Styela clava: one gene and its partner. The protein of the gene in region 1 purifies or fractionates together with the protein of each later gene. This does not show direct contact. Links are inferred from orthologs where the notes say so. Each region holds a gene or a part of one and is shown on either strand. Other genes may lie near its edges.

Region 1 (7,832 bases):
ATTGCATATCAGGGGTCAGATACTGACAAACTAATTTCAGTAGAAGAAAAAAAATATTTAGCACGGCAGAAATCATGTTTAATTATCATTATAGACTGAAGTACATAATATCAAACAAAAAATTTTTCTGGAAATCATATTGTTAAAATTGTTTTTCTCAATTTTGCTTTTGCCCAAACAGAAACTAGGAAAATTACACATAACATTCTTATACTCACAAGTTCAGAGAGAATTTCATTTAATATTCCCATAATTTTATCTTCGTCATTTCCAATTGCCCAATTTCTTTGTTGCGCGTCATCTTTTATTTCTTGTAGATTTGCCAATGCAAGGCCAAGTTTATCACATTCTTCATCAACCTAAAAAAATTGAGATATTTTAAAACTGAAATATATTTATTAAAATGATGGAAAACTGATTAAGCCTCTTGAGTTGAAAGCAAGTCTGTAATTCTATTCGATTGAGATAGGAAAGTAAAACTATATTATCATGGACTTCCTAACGTGTCCTGAAAAATTCGCCGCAGGAAATTTCGGCATAGTAAACAAGTATTTGTGATAGCATAAAAAATCGCTGCAAGAGCATTTTGCTGTAAAACAAGTATTTGTGATAAAAACAGTTGGTAAGTTTATAGGGTTAGGGTATGCTCCTAAATAACGAATCTTTTTTAAATAAAAAGATACTTCAAAAACTGGCCTGGAGAGTGGGGCACCCGCTAGAGGGCGATAAACATTAGCGCAGACAAACAGGCCCGCAACTGTTTTTATCACAAGTACTTATTTTACAGCAAAATGCTCATGCTACAATTTTGCTTGTGGCGAAATTTTCTGCAGGGAGATTTCCTACAGCGAAATTTTTTGCGGCGAATTTTCCTAGAACCACTTCCTATAATATTCCATTTATATGCTCCACACCACAGTCTGTAAAAAAAAATTCCCCAAACTGAGTTGATAATTGACAATGATAAGAACATACAATACACACATTTTCCTTAGGTATAGTTTCCATAATTTCATCTAATGTAGATCCCAAACTAGGAATACCGGATTTCATTGCGAGTAATACAGCACTTAACGCAGCCCTGCATAAAAATATATAAAACAGGTAAAATTAGTAAATTGCACAATAGCAGACTACCCTATGGTTTATAGGCTTGAACTATATGCAAAACAGTACTATATCAAACTCATGAATACATCACATGCTCATAATGCTGATCATTTTGAGTAATCCAAGTAGGGATGGTAGGGATTATATACCATTAGGTATCACATGACTTTAGTATTATGCAAAACTAATCAGGTTTAAGCAGACCATACCCTCTTTTGCTCAAGTTATTAAAATCGGTTCTTCATTCTGATAGCAGTGATGCTAGGAGAAATAATCTTATGAGAGAAAGTAGGTATGCTGTATCCTGTATGGCCAGCTGTCAAGATAGAATTGTCTGGAACTTGATATAAGTTCAAACAAAACAAGCCTGGACAGGATAAAAGAAAATGTACAATTCAACCTCAGATTCTTGTAAAGGTTCACTCAAAGCAACAAAATCAGTATACATCCAAAGAATAGCAAAAATGTAATTTGACATACATAAACTAACTGCAAAAGAGAGAACCTTCAATGAAAATAATAGAAGCAGGAAGTATTCAAGAATATCAGCTAGATAATTACTTACTAGAGTATTGTTCAAGGAATTTGGAATATCTGAACATGGCAATGCACTGTAGGAAAAAGATTCTAGCATGTAGATTTACATAATATAAATGCATGCTTTGTAGGTAAATAAATGTTATGTCTGAATAGCGATAGCTCCCAAAGCAAACTCTTCTCACCTACTTTTGCTTTCATTTGTGTTTAAGGTTGTTTTCAAAATTCCCAGAAGTTCTGAACCTAATTCTTGAGGAACATCATGTCTTGAAGGTGCAGGTGAAAAACTTTCCTTTTCCATTACTTCAGGTTTTGTTAGACTGGTGTTTCTTTGTGGGACAGCAGGAGGCAAACTTGACAATGCATTCGGACTGGCAGTGGAATAAGTGGATTCAGCTGATGAAAATGCAAAATATAAAAAAATGTTTCAATATTTTGGAAATCCTAAATAGGCCATGCTTTATTTCTAACTACTTAAAGAGCAGATTCCCTTTGATCAATTTGAATAGGCACCAACACATGGAATGACTTTTTCGATATGCATCTTGGCATTGAACATAGCGTGATTCTATTTATTGCTGCTGAGAGAGAAATTTAAGTTCAGTTTACATGACAACTCGACACAGAAAAATATATACACAATAAAATATAAGTTAGTTCAACCTGGAAAAATCATTAAAAATGCATTTAGATCGAACCAATTGAAAAACTACCCAAAAAGGCTCCAAAAATTTAAAAATACGAGTAGAAAGTAACTCACAGACTGATGGCTCAGGAGAAACTTTCACTTCATGTTCATGTGGAGGGGGTGGTGGCGGAGCTCGTCGTTTTGTTGATGATGATCTTGACTTTATGTTAGCAATCAAACTTTCCTTGTGGGCTATTAATTTTCTGAAAAATTAACATAGTGTTTATATATATTAGCATAGAGTAAAAATTAACCAAAAAATCAAGGTAATAAATAGAAAAGTATATCACAGGTGGATATTCATATGAAAGAAAAGTATTAATCAATTGCCAGATTCTGCATGCCACTTATCAAATAACAATACTGCCCCAAACATGAAGCTCTCAGAGTAGCATTGATGCCTCGAAACTCTTTTCACATCTAGTTTAGAACTCAGAAGCTCGCCGTTCCTTTTAGAAAAGAATTAGCCTCTTGAACAGATTGCTCTCTCAATTTTTGCATTTCAATTTTTGGACTCCATGATGTATTCAGAGTAAAAATCTTCAGATTCATGAGAAAACTATCAAATTCATGAGAAAAATAAAAATTAATATACTTGAGCAAAGCTTGCTGTTGTGGCTTGAGCATACCAGCAGGAGCTGAAGCGATGAGTTCTTCAATGGCATTGTTAACCGATCGTAAAACGACATCTGACGAGTCATTCTTAATTGTGAAAAAAAATTCTCTTGACATAAAATTGTAAGTACTGGATATTATAAAAACAAGATTTATGCCATACAGGGATATAGATATAGTATAATTGGTAGTACTGTAGTACCTACTACTAGTAATAGGTAGCAAAAATACATGGAATGCACTTTCTTTGAAAGCATATAGACTACTATTTCTGCAGCATGGCATCTAACAAAATCATTTACCTTCTCCTTAGTAACATATGTTCGTGGTATGTAGCCAACTTTTCCCAGGCTGTTTGAAGCTAGCCACCAAGATTCATTGTTCTTCTCAAGAATGCAGAGGGTGTCACCAACTGAAAATGAAAGCAGGTGCTCTTGCTGAGCTTCATAAGGATGCGTTGCTTTATACATTTCCACGTAGCTTTTATCTATATACAGATATAACAGCTTACTATACCGTACTTTGCCAAATTCAAACAAACTGCAGATGTGGCTACGATTTGATTTCGATACTGCTGTAGGCTACCGCAAGTACAGTGCTGTATTTGTGTTTCGGCAATCACTCACTATTTTCTCTCCGAACCAAACTCTAGTTAAGCAAACAATGGCCGGCAGAGGCGCCAATGATTTTTTTCTCTGTTATTTTTATTTTTATGGTAGATTCTAGAAATCAAAGAAGGGGTACATATTTTAAACAGATCTATGTATATAAAACATCTGTAAATTTAATACTCAGAAAATGGAACCTGAAGCTCAGTACCGTACGGTTGCGATTCTACCACTAGTTGGAGTCATTGAGACACTGCCGATTAGAATAATAGCATGTCAAAGTAAAACTGGACATGCTACTGGTCGTTTGTCGCTTTACTGTTTCCGACTTTATGGCGCTAGAGGTGGAAACTTGCTAATATTAAGTTTGAACACGTTTATGTTCTAATATTTTACATGTAACGAACATCTTTTAGTGAGGAAAGTTTTTGAAGCTGAAACATGCTTCACTAACTGACTAATCGATGATTGTCTGTGCAAATTGTCAAGATAAAAAAAAATTACATATTACAGTATTATACAGTATTCATGTGGGTCAAATATAGATGTCTATAGACTGAATTATAAATGTGTAATGGTACTATGAAGAAAAGTGTTAACAATGTCAATGGGTTAATATAACACCTTGGTGTTGAAAATAATATATTTGTTTGTCGTATTATCATATGAAGCGGACTGCTAACCAGCCCAGTGTTTTATACATACAGACATGAGGCTTTTATATTAATTTTTAGATCTCAATTATAATCATTTCTGCATTAAACAGTTGAATAAGCTAGTTGCAATTATTCAAATCACTGTGTCCATGGATTGAGGAATTTACATTTTTCATACCTGCGTTGCTGCGTAGATGTTATTTCAAATTGAATAAAATCATCAAAGGATTAAAAGGCAGGAATCATGGCACCGAAGGAAACCAAACAAACTACATCCAACAGCATGATTGGATTTGGACTTACCTTAAATTTATGTTGCTCAATATGCATTGTTTTTCTAAATAAATGGGTTTACACCATGGTGCATTTCCCAAATATGACATTAACATGCATACATTTTGCAGCAACATTTCTTGGCCTGGTTGTATGTCATTCATTTAATGTATTCAATCCGAAGCACCTCCCTCTTCTTCAATTATTACCTTTATCTTTAACATTCTGTGGATTTGTTGTCTTCACTAATCTTTCACTTCAAGCAAACACAGTGGGGACTTACCAGCTTTTCAAAGTCTTAACAACTCCGGTAATTATTGCAATACAGTCGTATGCCTATCGCAAAAAATTCAGCTTCAGAATTAAATTAACTTTGGTGAGTTTTATTATGATATATTTATTTATTCTAGCATATGTTCAAAATAATTGAAAGTTCAAATTTAGATAATAAAATAAATATGAGCATAAAAAAATGTTAGTGTGTATGCATATGTATATTGATACAATGGTAAGTATTATAGAAAGTGTATTGAATAGGTGTGCAAGTTTTCAATGCTGATTTCAAATTTTTTTCAGATACCTATCATGTTCGGTGTATTTTTGAATTCATACTATGATATCAAGTTCAATATTAAAGGCACTGTTTTTGCCATTCTCGGTGTTTTTGTGACCTCTGCCTATCAAATTGTAAGTATAAAAATATAGAAATAGATGATGCACAAAAATCCATTTTTGATTTTGAAAATCGATATCGATTTCTTTATCAATAACAATTTTCCAATCTAGGAAAATATGTGATATAAGTAGCAGTTTTCAGTACCAGTATAATATATATAATACAATATTCAAGCAAGGTTTTGTTCAAAATTCCATTTGTATTGCAGTTGGTTGGTGCAAAGCAAAAAGAACTTCAAGCAAATTCAATGCAATTGTTATATTATCAAGCACCAATTTCTTCAATCATGTTACTTGTTATAATTCCATTTTTTGAACCTGTTTTTTCACCAGGCGGTATATTTGGTGAAAAGTGGACATTAGGTAAGAATTTCCTAGACAATCATATAAGTTTTGATGATGTTCATGCATGTCCATGGGCTTAATAATGATGATAAACCAAGTTATATGTGGGCTTGCATTTTCAACAATAAGTAATTTTTTTTATAAATGTACTTGATATATAACTGAGATTGGCTGATATTCTTCAAATGGTGTTACTTCTCCTTGCACTCATGACTCAATAAATCACACATTTGAGATAACTCATGAAAATATCTTGTCTCAATTAGCACAAATTATCATACATGCACTTTTAATATTTCATAGTTAAATTTGTTTTTATACAAACAAACTGAAACATATCTTTATATTGTATTGCCTAATTCACTCCTGAAATTATTTACCTGTAAAGAATTACCGTAAATATATCCGGTAAGTTGTTTGAAACTGATGCATTTAATGGTCAATCTTCAGGTGCTATGGGACTTATTGCTGGTACTGCTGGTTTTGCATTTCTTGTAAATCTTACTATTTATTGGATAATTGGAAATACATCACCTGTCACATACAATATGTTTGGTCACTTCAAGTTTTGTATCACACTTCTTGGTGGATATTTTATATTTCTTGATCCTGTACAATTCAATCAATTCATTGGTATTCTCATCACATTGGCAGGTATGTGTGTATTCATCTAGTAGGTAAAGCCATTTGTTTTAATGATTGGTATCGAATAATCTATACGAATACCCCAATGCAACTAAATTTTGACTTGAATTATTTTACAATGTTACCCGGGGAGTGTATTTCATGGAATTTAAAAACTGAGAAAAATTGTTCATCAGATAATAAATTGATAGTTACATGATACTGTAGTACAGAGTTGGCATATTTGTGCAACTAGATCATACTGTCATTTTTCTGTTAACCTGTCAAAAGCTGAATGTTTTTATGATGATGAGTGTCCGAGTGTCCAATAAAATGATATCATTGAATAAAAAGTCTTTTCCAATCCACAAATTTCGGTTTAAATGTGAAATAATATCAGTGAATGGGAAATCATATAATATTCATTATATAAACTATTTTTCAGGTATTTTCCTGTATACTCATTTCAAACTGGAAGACAATGCGGCTTTAGAAAAGCGAAAACCCTTGACCCAACCATGTTGAATCAATCTGTATTTTGTTCGTATTTATGCTATGTCTATTTTAGGAAATGTTGAATCAATGAATTTTCATATCTTTTGCAGGAAGTGGTTACAAACCCTTTTGATACATTCCTACCTTTGCCTTTTTCCATATTTGTTCCATAGCAATAACAAAATATTCACATTTCCACATATGAATCCCTTGTATCCACAACATTGTGTCTTCTCTCAGTTTGTAGGAAAGCTTTTACTACAAGTTGTTTCTATTTGAGTGGGAAGTATTATTAAGATCTGTAACACATGTTTTGAGACAAAATACTTCTTATATATTATGTGTATCTAAATCAAATGTATTTTGTAGTGGCAACTATATCGATAGTGTATTGCTATGGAGTTGCAAATGTTTATATTTTTAAGCCTTAGACCAGGGGTTCCCAAACCAGGGGTCGCGACCCCAAATTGGGTCGGAGTGATAAATAGATAGGGTCGCAACCAGGTCATGGGGTCGCTGAGGTATGGTAGAGGATGGATGTACAACTCATCTAAGATTTGACAAACCATGTTGAATTTAGCAGTTTGTACCATGGCTAAATGTAAAATAGGCCCATGGGCATCACTCTATGCATATGTTCTTGAAAATGTAGGTGTTTATTGTGACATCACTGTTGGGTTTTAGCTTATTTTACTTAATACCACCACTTGACCAAACTCAAAAGTCCAATGAAAAAAGCTCTCAAGTTTCATGAAAAATATATATATTGACCTGGGGTCGCACTGGACACTTGAAAGTTGTCTTTGGGGTCGTCCTGAGGAAATCTTAGGAACCCCTGCCTTACTTAGACTTATCCGTGTCAAATAATTTGTAAAGAAGTATATTATTCATGAAAACTTCTATAATGGGTATTGTCGTGCCGTGCCATAGCGTACTTTTCATCACTATTTTATATGCAGTATATTTTTGTAGCATCCATGTCTGTACTGCCACTGCGATATTCTTCTGGTCTGTGATTCTTAACCACTTAACGACGACGGGGTCGTTTTCGGGACATTGACTTTATTGCACCCCATAGTACAAACCAGAATAGCTAGAGAGAAAGCGCGATTGTCCCGAAATCGTCTGTACCCGCTCTCTCGTTTGAGCCCATTTAGCGCCACCAAATGTTTCATATTTTGAGGTCAGCCATCTTTGTTTACATTG
Region 2 (8,419 bases), about 7.7 Mb from region 1:
TATATATGGCGTTTCATTCGGTTTTCAATTCTTATGAATTAATTGAGAGTAACATACTTTGAATATATATATATTCCAATTTCAAATACCTTTCAATAGATTTAGATTATTGAAAATTTGCGGTTAGCATCCCTTTTTCAAATAATAGATTTCGTTATTATTAAAATGCTTTCTAAAAGTAGATTCGAGCGAGTCATGCTTTTATTCATATACAATGCCGTCAAATAGAACGGTGAAATAATGAGCTCGTTTAAACAAAAATTGTATCCAAAAGCGTTATTTTTTCAAAAAAGCCCTGAGATGGCATAAACTTAAAAATGCGTTTTTTCATCCCGACATGGGACAAATATATAGACCAACTAGGTCACAACGCGCTTATTCTGCCCGACATTGGACAGATATATAGGCCAACTAGGTCGCAATGCGCTTATTCTGCCCGACATGGGACACACATATAGACCAAATCGTAACAAATCGGTCGACAAAATCGTAACAATGAGATAATGCGAGCATAGGTATTTTAGCGTAGCGAAGTACATTGAATTGAAAATATGTTTTAACCGTACAAAACCAAAGTTTTGAAATAAAAATACGCCATCCTTCTGTAATTCTACTTTAAAACTTTTACCCTTTTCTATAACCTCTTCTTCTATTTCAATGTCTCGTCTCATTTTAGATCATATACATGTAAATGTTTTTTTTACTTATATCATTAATTTTAGCATTGTGTATAGTATTTTTCTGAATATTTTCACTTTATCAGGGTGCCAAATCTTTTAAACTTCCAGTTAGTAAGATGGGGAGATAATTTATCAATAACCCTCATGAGTTCACCCTAATTTCAGAGTTTTACCCCCATTTACTATTAAAAATATGAAAACAAAGTTAATTTTTCTCAAAATTCAAACAAGTATTTTTGTGGAAATCAAATCACTATATAATGACGTTTTCTTTAACTATGGGAATTCAAATTTTATTTAAATTTTTAATCTTATTGTGTTCAACTCGCGATTACGTCCCCCATAAAAAGAACATTACCTAATACATAATAAAGCGACACCAAAAAAATGAAAATTACCATACTCGCCTGATAAGACGACCCCTCAACATCAGGTCAAAAATTTGAGTCTAGAAAAGCGACTTATTTGCCGGGAAATACGGTAGATGTTAATTTGATTCGCTTCGAAGTTCTGAAACTTACATTCCTGCTCTTGTGTCGTTTCCCCTAGATCGGTTCTACTCAACTATTTTTACTTCAAGATACAAAACTTCAAAATTTGCGGAGTCCAGACTTTTTAGAAAATTTATTTTACAGTAAGCCTGAAAACTGCCTTTAACTTCGAGGTCAGTGAGTTAACGAAAAAGCAATTCATGTTAAATTGAGTAACCGCAAAATATATATATGAAGACATCTTTGAAAATAGTAGTTCCCCGGCTGGTGATTATTCGCTAACCTGGTCAGTTTATTATGGCATCACAGTTTTCCTCGTATATAGTTTGGTGCAAGTATGAGAAATGATGAAACTAACTCTAAAACTATAAATAAAAGGTATTTAATAAAAGAAAACTTCCGCATATCCAACTTTCATGGCGCCAATACTCCAAAAGAAAGAAGCAAGTGCGGTCCGAAACAAATATTCAAAGGATCCGGATCTGGACCGCGGTCCACCAGTTGAGTAGCCCTGCCCTAGTAGATATTAAATAGCCTATCACGACCTGGAGCATAAAATTTCTTTGAACTGAACTTTAAGTACCATACAACTCTTATCACACACACGATTTTGTTTTGAAATAATGAAACCCGACAGAGAAATTATCACCAACACGCGCTATATTTTCTGTCCGGTCGGTAAGCAAATACACAAGTTGTTAGTTCATAAATTTTCTGTTAAAGAGCCTTGCTCGAATATAAGTTCCACCTCAGAGCTTCACTCTCAATTTCAAGAAACCTCATCTTTTTTGGGAATAGAATGGCTATAATTATCTTCACCTACCGGGTTTAACTTAAGCTCTTGTGTATATAAATGTTCAACATTCTTCGAAAAATTATTTTGAAAATAAAAAACAATATTTATTTCCCGCAGCTTGAGTTTTTTTCGTGTGTGCCAAGGAACGCTGATAGTATCAGGTATATGAATAACAAACGCATAAATAGACTTTTAGCCTAATTGTTGACAATGTATAGTTCTCCGCATCTAGCAATATGCATCAGCCTTGAGGAAATGAATAATAAACTATGGCCTATCAATCGTTAAAATATATAATGTTTGTTATTGTTCTTCACACTTCCTACCAGTTGTAATTGCTTTGTTTTTGAAGGATGCTTATAGAAGTTAAATACCCATCAACGTACCAATTACTATTGATACAACAGCTCCCGCAACTCTCCGAAGCAGACTTTTGTCACCCACCGAAATGATGATTGGTCTCGGTCGGGCTGTCACTTGTTGATGTCAAAAATTCATCCCGGGTGTGAAGCGACTGCAATTCCAAGTTGTTGGCGAATTCTGGCACGAACAAAGAAATCGTCAAATTACACATAAAGAGCGTTTGATAAGTATTGCTCTCACAATTTTGAATGAGAAATGTCCGCAAATGTTGACAACAAATTTAATTCAAAAATTTTTCAGTGAGGGTATGAATGTACTTGTCCATTTCAAACATTAAATAATGACGAAAATGTGATGTAATGAATTTCGTTACAATTTTGAAACTAACTGCATTCATTGTTGGGATATGGTAATGCATCTATGAAGTCTTGCCATGTTATGTAAAAAGAGTATTTTATTCGAACCTGATATTGTTCGATTTCCTCTTCTAATTCGTTCATACCAAACTGGAACAGACAAAACACAATAAACGAAGCAAACAGATGCCAATATGAATAACATAACAGCCACAGCACTGATTGCGATAACAATATCGCTCCTGTGAAAAAAAGTATGAATATCAGTCTGAAGTAAAGTTGACTGTAATTAGTCTAAAATATATCATTATCCAAATGTACATTATATAACTCGCAAAGTTAGGTAACGAGTTAAGATTAAAAAAAATACATCAGTTTGTTTTTAAATGAATCACACCAATCAGGTATGTTCTAAATCTAAACAAATATTTTTTTAAATTATTTCAGAGTGTGTCATTAACGTTTACGTTTTCGAATATTCAGAGCCAAATGTCATCTAATATTTATTCTGGGTTTTCTTTACACGCTTGTGGTGTAAATTGCAAATTTGCTTACCAAATTCATAATTAGGTTAGATTCGATTTTGATTATGCCATTGACCATCGAATCTGATTTATGGGTTCTCTGAAACCAATCAGGAATACTTGTGAAGAATTTGATTTAGTTAAACGGCCCAATTCTTCGAAACAGTTCAGAATATTAGCACTCACGAAACCAAGTCCTTTCTTTTGCAACAATAATAGTAAGATATCGATTCTGAAGTGGACGAGGAACAACATTTCATCGTATTCTTTTCACATTTAACCTCGACCATGTAACCAAACTCGTCAACGTATGGACAGACTAAGTGATCATCATATTCAAGTATGCCATCAGTAGAATATTCGAAATAACCTAAAAGAGGACGAATTGACGCAACTCAATAAAGAAAATGCCAGCTAGCTTGCTTTGAATATCGATGACGAATTTTAATTGATTTAATAGTGGAAATTGTTTCATGCATACAATTTGAAATACTTCTACTTAATCTAAGATTAAGTGTTTCAAACGTGTCTATTACAATTGACTTTCTGAAGGCTTTTCTGCCAAAGAAATTAAAAACAAACTTTCGAAATTCAGTACTGAAAAGCAACATGTAAATATTTACACAGCAACAAACCTGGAAAATTCCACCTCAATCATCAAGAAAACTCAAAGATTTTGGTGGTTGGAGTATTGTACACGTCAGCTTTTTAATTTCTAAGTTTCAATCAATATTTGTGGACTTTTTGGTAAATCTCTTTGTTATCAGAAACTTTGCTGCGCAGAAAAATGTGTTTTTTCTAGCCTTGGTTTTCATATGCAAAATACTCTATAAAAATACTGACCGCTGCCCTCCAATATAAAGTTTTCAGTGCCCTCCATGACTGTTGCTGTTTATTCATCATCTCACAGAGTAATGGATGCAAAAGTAAGACAACTTCCATTTAAAAGCAAATTGAAATTTGATGTTAATATCAGGCTGCGGGTTTGTTATTTGTGTTCCATTTACGGTTACACGTGTTTTGGAGAGTGCCTATCTAAATTTGGCGGTATGTTTACACTAACCTCTCGTAGAACGACAACATTGGTATGATAACATGCTTTATTTGTTTTTCGTTTGTATGATTTCTACAGCAAATGTTCGTTATACACGATTAATGGGTAAAATATGAACTCGGGGCAGCATATAACAATTTTTGAATCGCACTAAGCTACATAATGTGTTCAGCTTGCAAATTGTGAGCAAATTTGCAACGTTTCAAGTGCATTATAAATAGCGTAGTCGATTCACAGCAACGACGGCATTAAATCTGCCTATTCTGTATTTATTTATTATTCAAGTATTTCATTCCTATATATATGCTTCTACATTCCTTTTTATCCATTCCGGACATTGTCGCGAAAACTTTCACCTGGTACGTGCGACAAGCAAATTAATTCAGGCAATGATATATAGGATTTACATATAGGAGGATAGGATTTACATATTTATCTCGGGGGAGAGGAAAGCCGATAAGCCGGCTTATCTATATGGCGAACCACGGCCTCTCGTCCGGTTACCATTCCAAGTCGGGTATGGGAATAGTTATATTGTTTTGTTTTCGTAAGCATGGACTTGGTGGTGGAGGAAGCCGTAACCGACCAGCGGTTACGTGAACCACCCAACGACGGCGAGGAGTCCAGCAATCCTCTCGCACATAACCATCTCTGCATGGGATTCGAACCTGCGAACCCACTCAGAGTAATTAGAGGTGCGGTGGCGAGCGTATTCCTAACGCTTAGCCCGTTGAGCCACACCGCCGCGCAAAAAAGACCAAATGTAAGAAAAAAATGGACGTCGTGATTCACTGCAAAATAAATATGATATCTTGGAGGATATTATTTGCATTGAAACTATTTATCGTGATATCTCATTTGCTGCTCCTTGACCTTCAACATCAATGCTTCATCATTCCCCCAAGTTTGTCAAACCATTGGTCAAAGTTATTGTGCGGTGTTGTCTTGCAGGCTTCGTACTGTCGTATATGCTACTCGTTCTCGAGTTTCATCTTTTTTGAAACTTTCTGCCATTATTCACGGAATATAGTTGCTCGATGGCATCTCTGATAAGCGTTACAGGCGAAAGTTTGCACGAAGAAGAAATTGATGACGCTGTCCCTGGAGCAACACCTTTCTTCAAAGTTGATTTTGATGAAATCGAAAATGGAGAAATTGTATCAATGGTCAAACTTCCTAGCAATCCCCAAGAATATTTAAGAGGGGTTATGTGAGTTTTTAGCGTTTTGTGACCATTGGGCTATTATGCAGCCATGTTCTACTTTAATGTGTATATTATTTCAATATTTTTAATATTATTACACTTTTAATATTATTTAGAAAGTAAAAATATAATTCCATTGTATGGCTTTTGCTAAATTCATTGTTTTACAGGCAACAAGCCAGGAATACACCAAATGTTGTTGTTGCAAAAATAGATCCAAGTAAAATTAAACCAAAACTGAAGCCAGCGATACCTTCAAAATATGTAAGTTCCTCAACCATGATTTATTATAATTTGTTATAATTAAACCATGTCCAGAATTTTTTTAATTCTTAATTAGTAAATTTGAAAGAATTTTTTTGCATTGGCCAAATGATATTGCAGTTGTAATTGTTAATGTTAGACTTATTGAAATGTCAGTAGGGCACACTTTACAGATCGAGCGACATTGTCTCGTTCCAGAGAATCCCATTTTGTCGATGAACATACAGCCTTCCCTTCGGGGACGTCTGGACATTGTTGTCCCTCAAAATCTGTAAAAATACATTAAAATGAAGTTGCATAATGAAATAAGAAGCGCATTCATGTGTTTATGAGATGGTTTAGGGATTTTTTCAATGTTTATCCACCTGTCTTTTTATGGTTTTTACGATTTTTTCAATTGTTACCCAGCTAAGTGAACAAGTAACTGAAGTAAGATCTGATTTGATCCCAAGTAAAGAATGGCAGGAACAACAATTAGTAGATTTCGCAACAACAAGGGAAGAATATATCAGACATCTTGCCAAATTGAAATCTATCAGTCGTCAAACAAAAAAGAGGCCAAAACTGCCAATTTATCCATTGGTGAGAAAACATTGTTTGTAAAATTTCATTATACATTTAATATACTATACTAAAGTGTCACACTTTATTAGCCAAACTTATGCCTTGTTTGATGATTTTACTTGGTATCAATTTTAAGTTTAGATTCATTTAAAGAAAATCTGACCATTTGAATAACTGTTTGATGTATAGTGGACAAAATGTCGTGACTTCGCTATCCTACTTACTGATTTTTCATATCTGGTAAAACGATGTTGGTGACTTGGGCACAGCTGCAATCAATGTTTACTCAACTCTTCAAAAAAAAAAACCATTGGTTGTTTTATTTGTCTCTCAACCACAAATTTTCACTCAGAATATTTCTCAACTGAATGGTTTTGATCTCAGTCTGGAGCGTACTTGATAATATGTCGTGCATTGTTCATCATATTATATAGATCTTGCATGGGCAAACTACGGCCCGCGGGCTAAATCTGGCTCGCTGGGTAATTCAATCTGGCTTGCCTGAAACTGAAATTTCATGATAAGTTAAAAATAGCTCAAGGAATTTGTTGAGATTGCGTTCAAATTGAGTTTTGACACAATGATTATTGTTTTCCACTTTTACTTTTGTAACACTGTAAATATTGTTCATAAAATGTAACTTTAAGTCACACTTACATGGCCCACCAGTCAAGGTGGGCACAATTTTTGGCCCCCGGTCCAAAAACCTTGCCCACTCCTGATGTAGATCATTATATATTTTATTTTCTGTATTATTATTTGATATATTCAGCCTCCTTGGGAAGATGAAGAAAGCTGGAAATTTCTGTGTTTTGGAAGAAATCTAAAACGAAAGAAACAGGAAACTGATGAAGACAATAATGAGACCACGTTATCTCAAGGTCTTTTTTTCATATAATCGGCCTATAATACAATATGATTGTTAACTCTGAGATATAAATAAGATTTCACATTTTTTCGAGAAAGAGAAAGTCAATAAGACAGACACCTTAATCTGATAGCAAATCACCATCTTTTATTTGATTTTAAGTCTGAGCCAGGTATAGGAATAGGTAACCAACTCCCAGATGCATGAATGGAACTCACCTATGTTTTGCATTACGCTACCCGCAATGAGAACAATCCTTTCATTAAGATCACCCAATAAAAGATTTGAACATGTGGAGTTTATTCAGAATGATCGTATGCAGTCCCATTATTCAAATAGTTGTCACACCTTCATTCAATTTAATTAGTCTTTCAAATGTATTTGGCACTAATTGTATATTTTTCAGTTTTTAGAATGAATCTGTTAAGGATTCTAGTAGGCCACTTATTTTCTAATTTTCCTGGTTTATATTTTGCTATTTATAAACCCACAGGTGCTCATACAAAAGAGTCAGATGAAGATGACAATCTACAGAATGCCTTAATTGCTGGAGGACGAACAACTGCTGATATACTTGCTGATCAAATTAATAGCGAAGAAGATAGGACAGTTGATTTATCCACTCTTGAGGTTGGTTTAAACATCATTCATATTGGGGATTATAGGCCACAACTGAACCCAGTGTTGGTTGATAGTGGTGCATTAGATTTATGGATTAGTGATTAGTCATGCTTCCAGCACAGCTTGCTCATTTTAAATGATTTTCACCTTTTTGCTCTTAAATTAGTTTGAAAAACGAACTATTCAACTTTTCAAAATCCAGAGTTTGAGTTATGTGTAACACTAGCTAAGTATTATTTAAAGATTGAACAATAATTTGGAAAAGGTTGGACTTGGGGGCCACTGATCAGGATTACTAAGTTTTCAATAGCAAAAATTTTTGGTTTTCACCCTACTGTAATTCTCATTTTGTATACTAGTATACATTGACTTATGATATTGGCTGAAGTTTTATTTTATTGATTAATTCAAGAAATGTAACCCATGTATATCTCACCTAAGGGTGCTTTCAATTGGGTTGTCATTTTGAGTCAAGAAGTGTGATTCTCATTTTACTCCATATTTACTTACAGTATTTTAAAGACTAAAATCAATGCACATATTTTTTTTATTGTGGGCTCCATAGGAAGGATTCCCACCAATGATGAGAATACTTCTACGAATGGATTCTAATCAAGTTGAAGCAAATCTGGAG

Evidence for each region.
Region 2: the proteins of NCK-interacting protein with SH3 domain-like (region 1) and gem-associated protein 2-like purify together in Homo sapiens (co-immunoprecipitation; 3 studies listed by BioGRID and IntAct, counting the BioPlex papers as one, with this or other methods). This does not show direct contact. The link is inferred for Styela clava from reciprocal best matches to the Homo sapiens genes NCKIPSD and GEMIN2.

The regions. Positions count from the first base shown.
Region 1 is NC_135258.1:11,598,874-11,606,705, forward strand, and holds the start of NCK-interacting protein with SH3 domain-like, read right to left. Parts: upstream 3,755-7,832; 5' UTR 3,421-3,754; coding exon 3,253-3,420; intron 3,038-3,252; coding exon 2,931-3,037; intron 2,539-2,930; coding exon 2,408-2,538; intron 2,044-2,407; coding exon 1,833-2,043; intron 1,082-1,832; coding exon 985-1,081; intron 360-984; coding exon 219-359; intron 1-218. Other genes in the region: solute carrier family 35 member E3-like, read left to right, coding at 4,459-4,863, 5,064-5,174, 5,372-5,525, 5,958-6,161, 6,577-6,656. UniProt on the Homo sapiens protein: Has an important role in stress fiber formation induced by active diaphanous protein homolog 1 (DRF1). Induces microspike formation, in vivo. In vitro, stimulates N-WASP-induced ARP2/3 complex activation in the absence of CDC42.
Region 2 is NC_135258.1:19,319,876-19,328,294, forward strand, and holds the start of gem-associated protein 2-like, read left to right. Parts: upstream 1-4,831; 5' UTR 4,832-5,301; coding exon 5,302-5,474; intron 5,475-5,638; coding exon 5,639-5,732; intron 5,733-6,140; coding exon 6,141-6,314; intron 6,315-7,068; coding exon 7,069-7,177; intron 7,178-7,657; coding exon 7,658-7,794; intron 7,795-8,350; coding exon 8,351-8,419. Other genes in the region: uncharacterized protein LOC120339927, read right to left, coding at 2,404-2,507, 2,795-2,928, 3,397-3,580, 4,054-4,090. UniProt on the Homo sapiens protein: The SMN complex catalyzes the assembly of small nuclear ribonucleoproteins (snRNPs), the building blocks of the spliceosome, and thereby plays an important role in the splicing of cellular pre-mRNAs.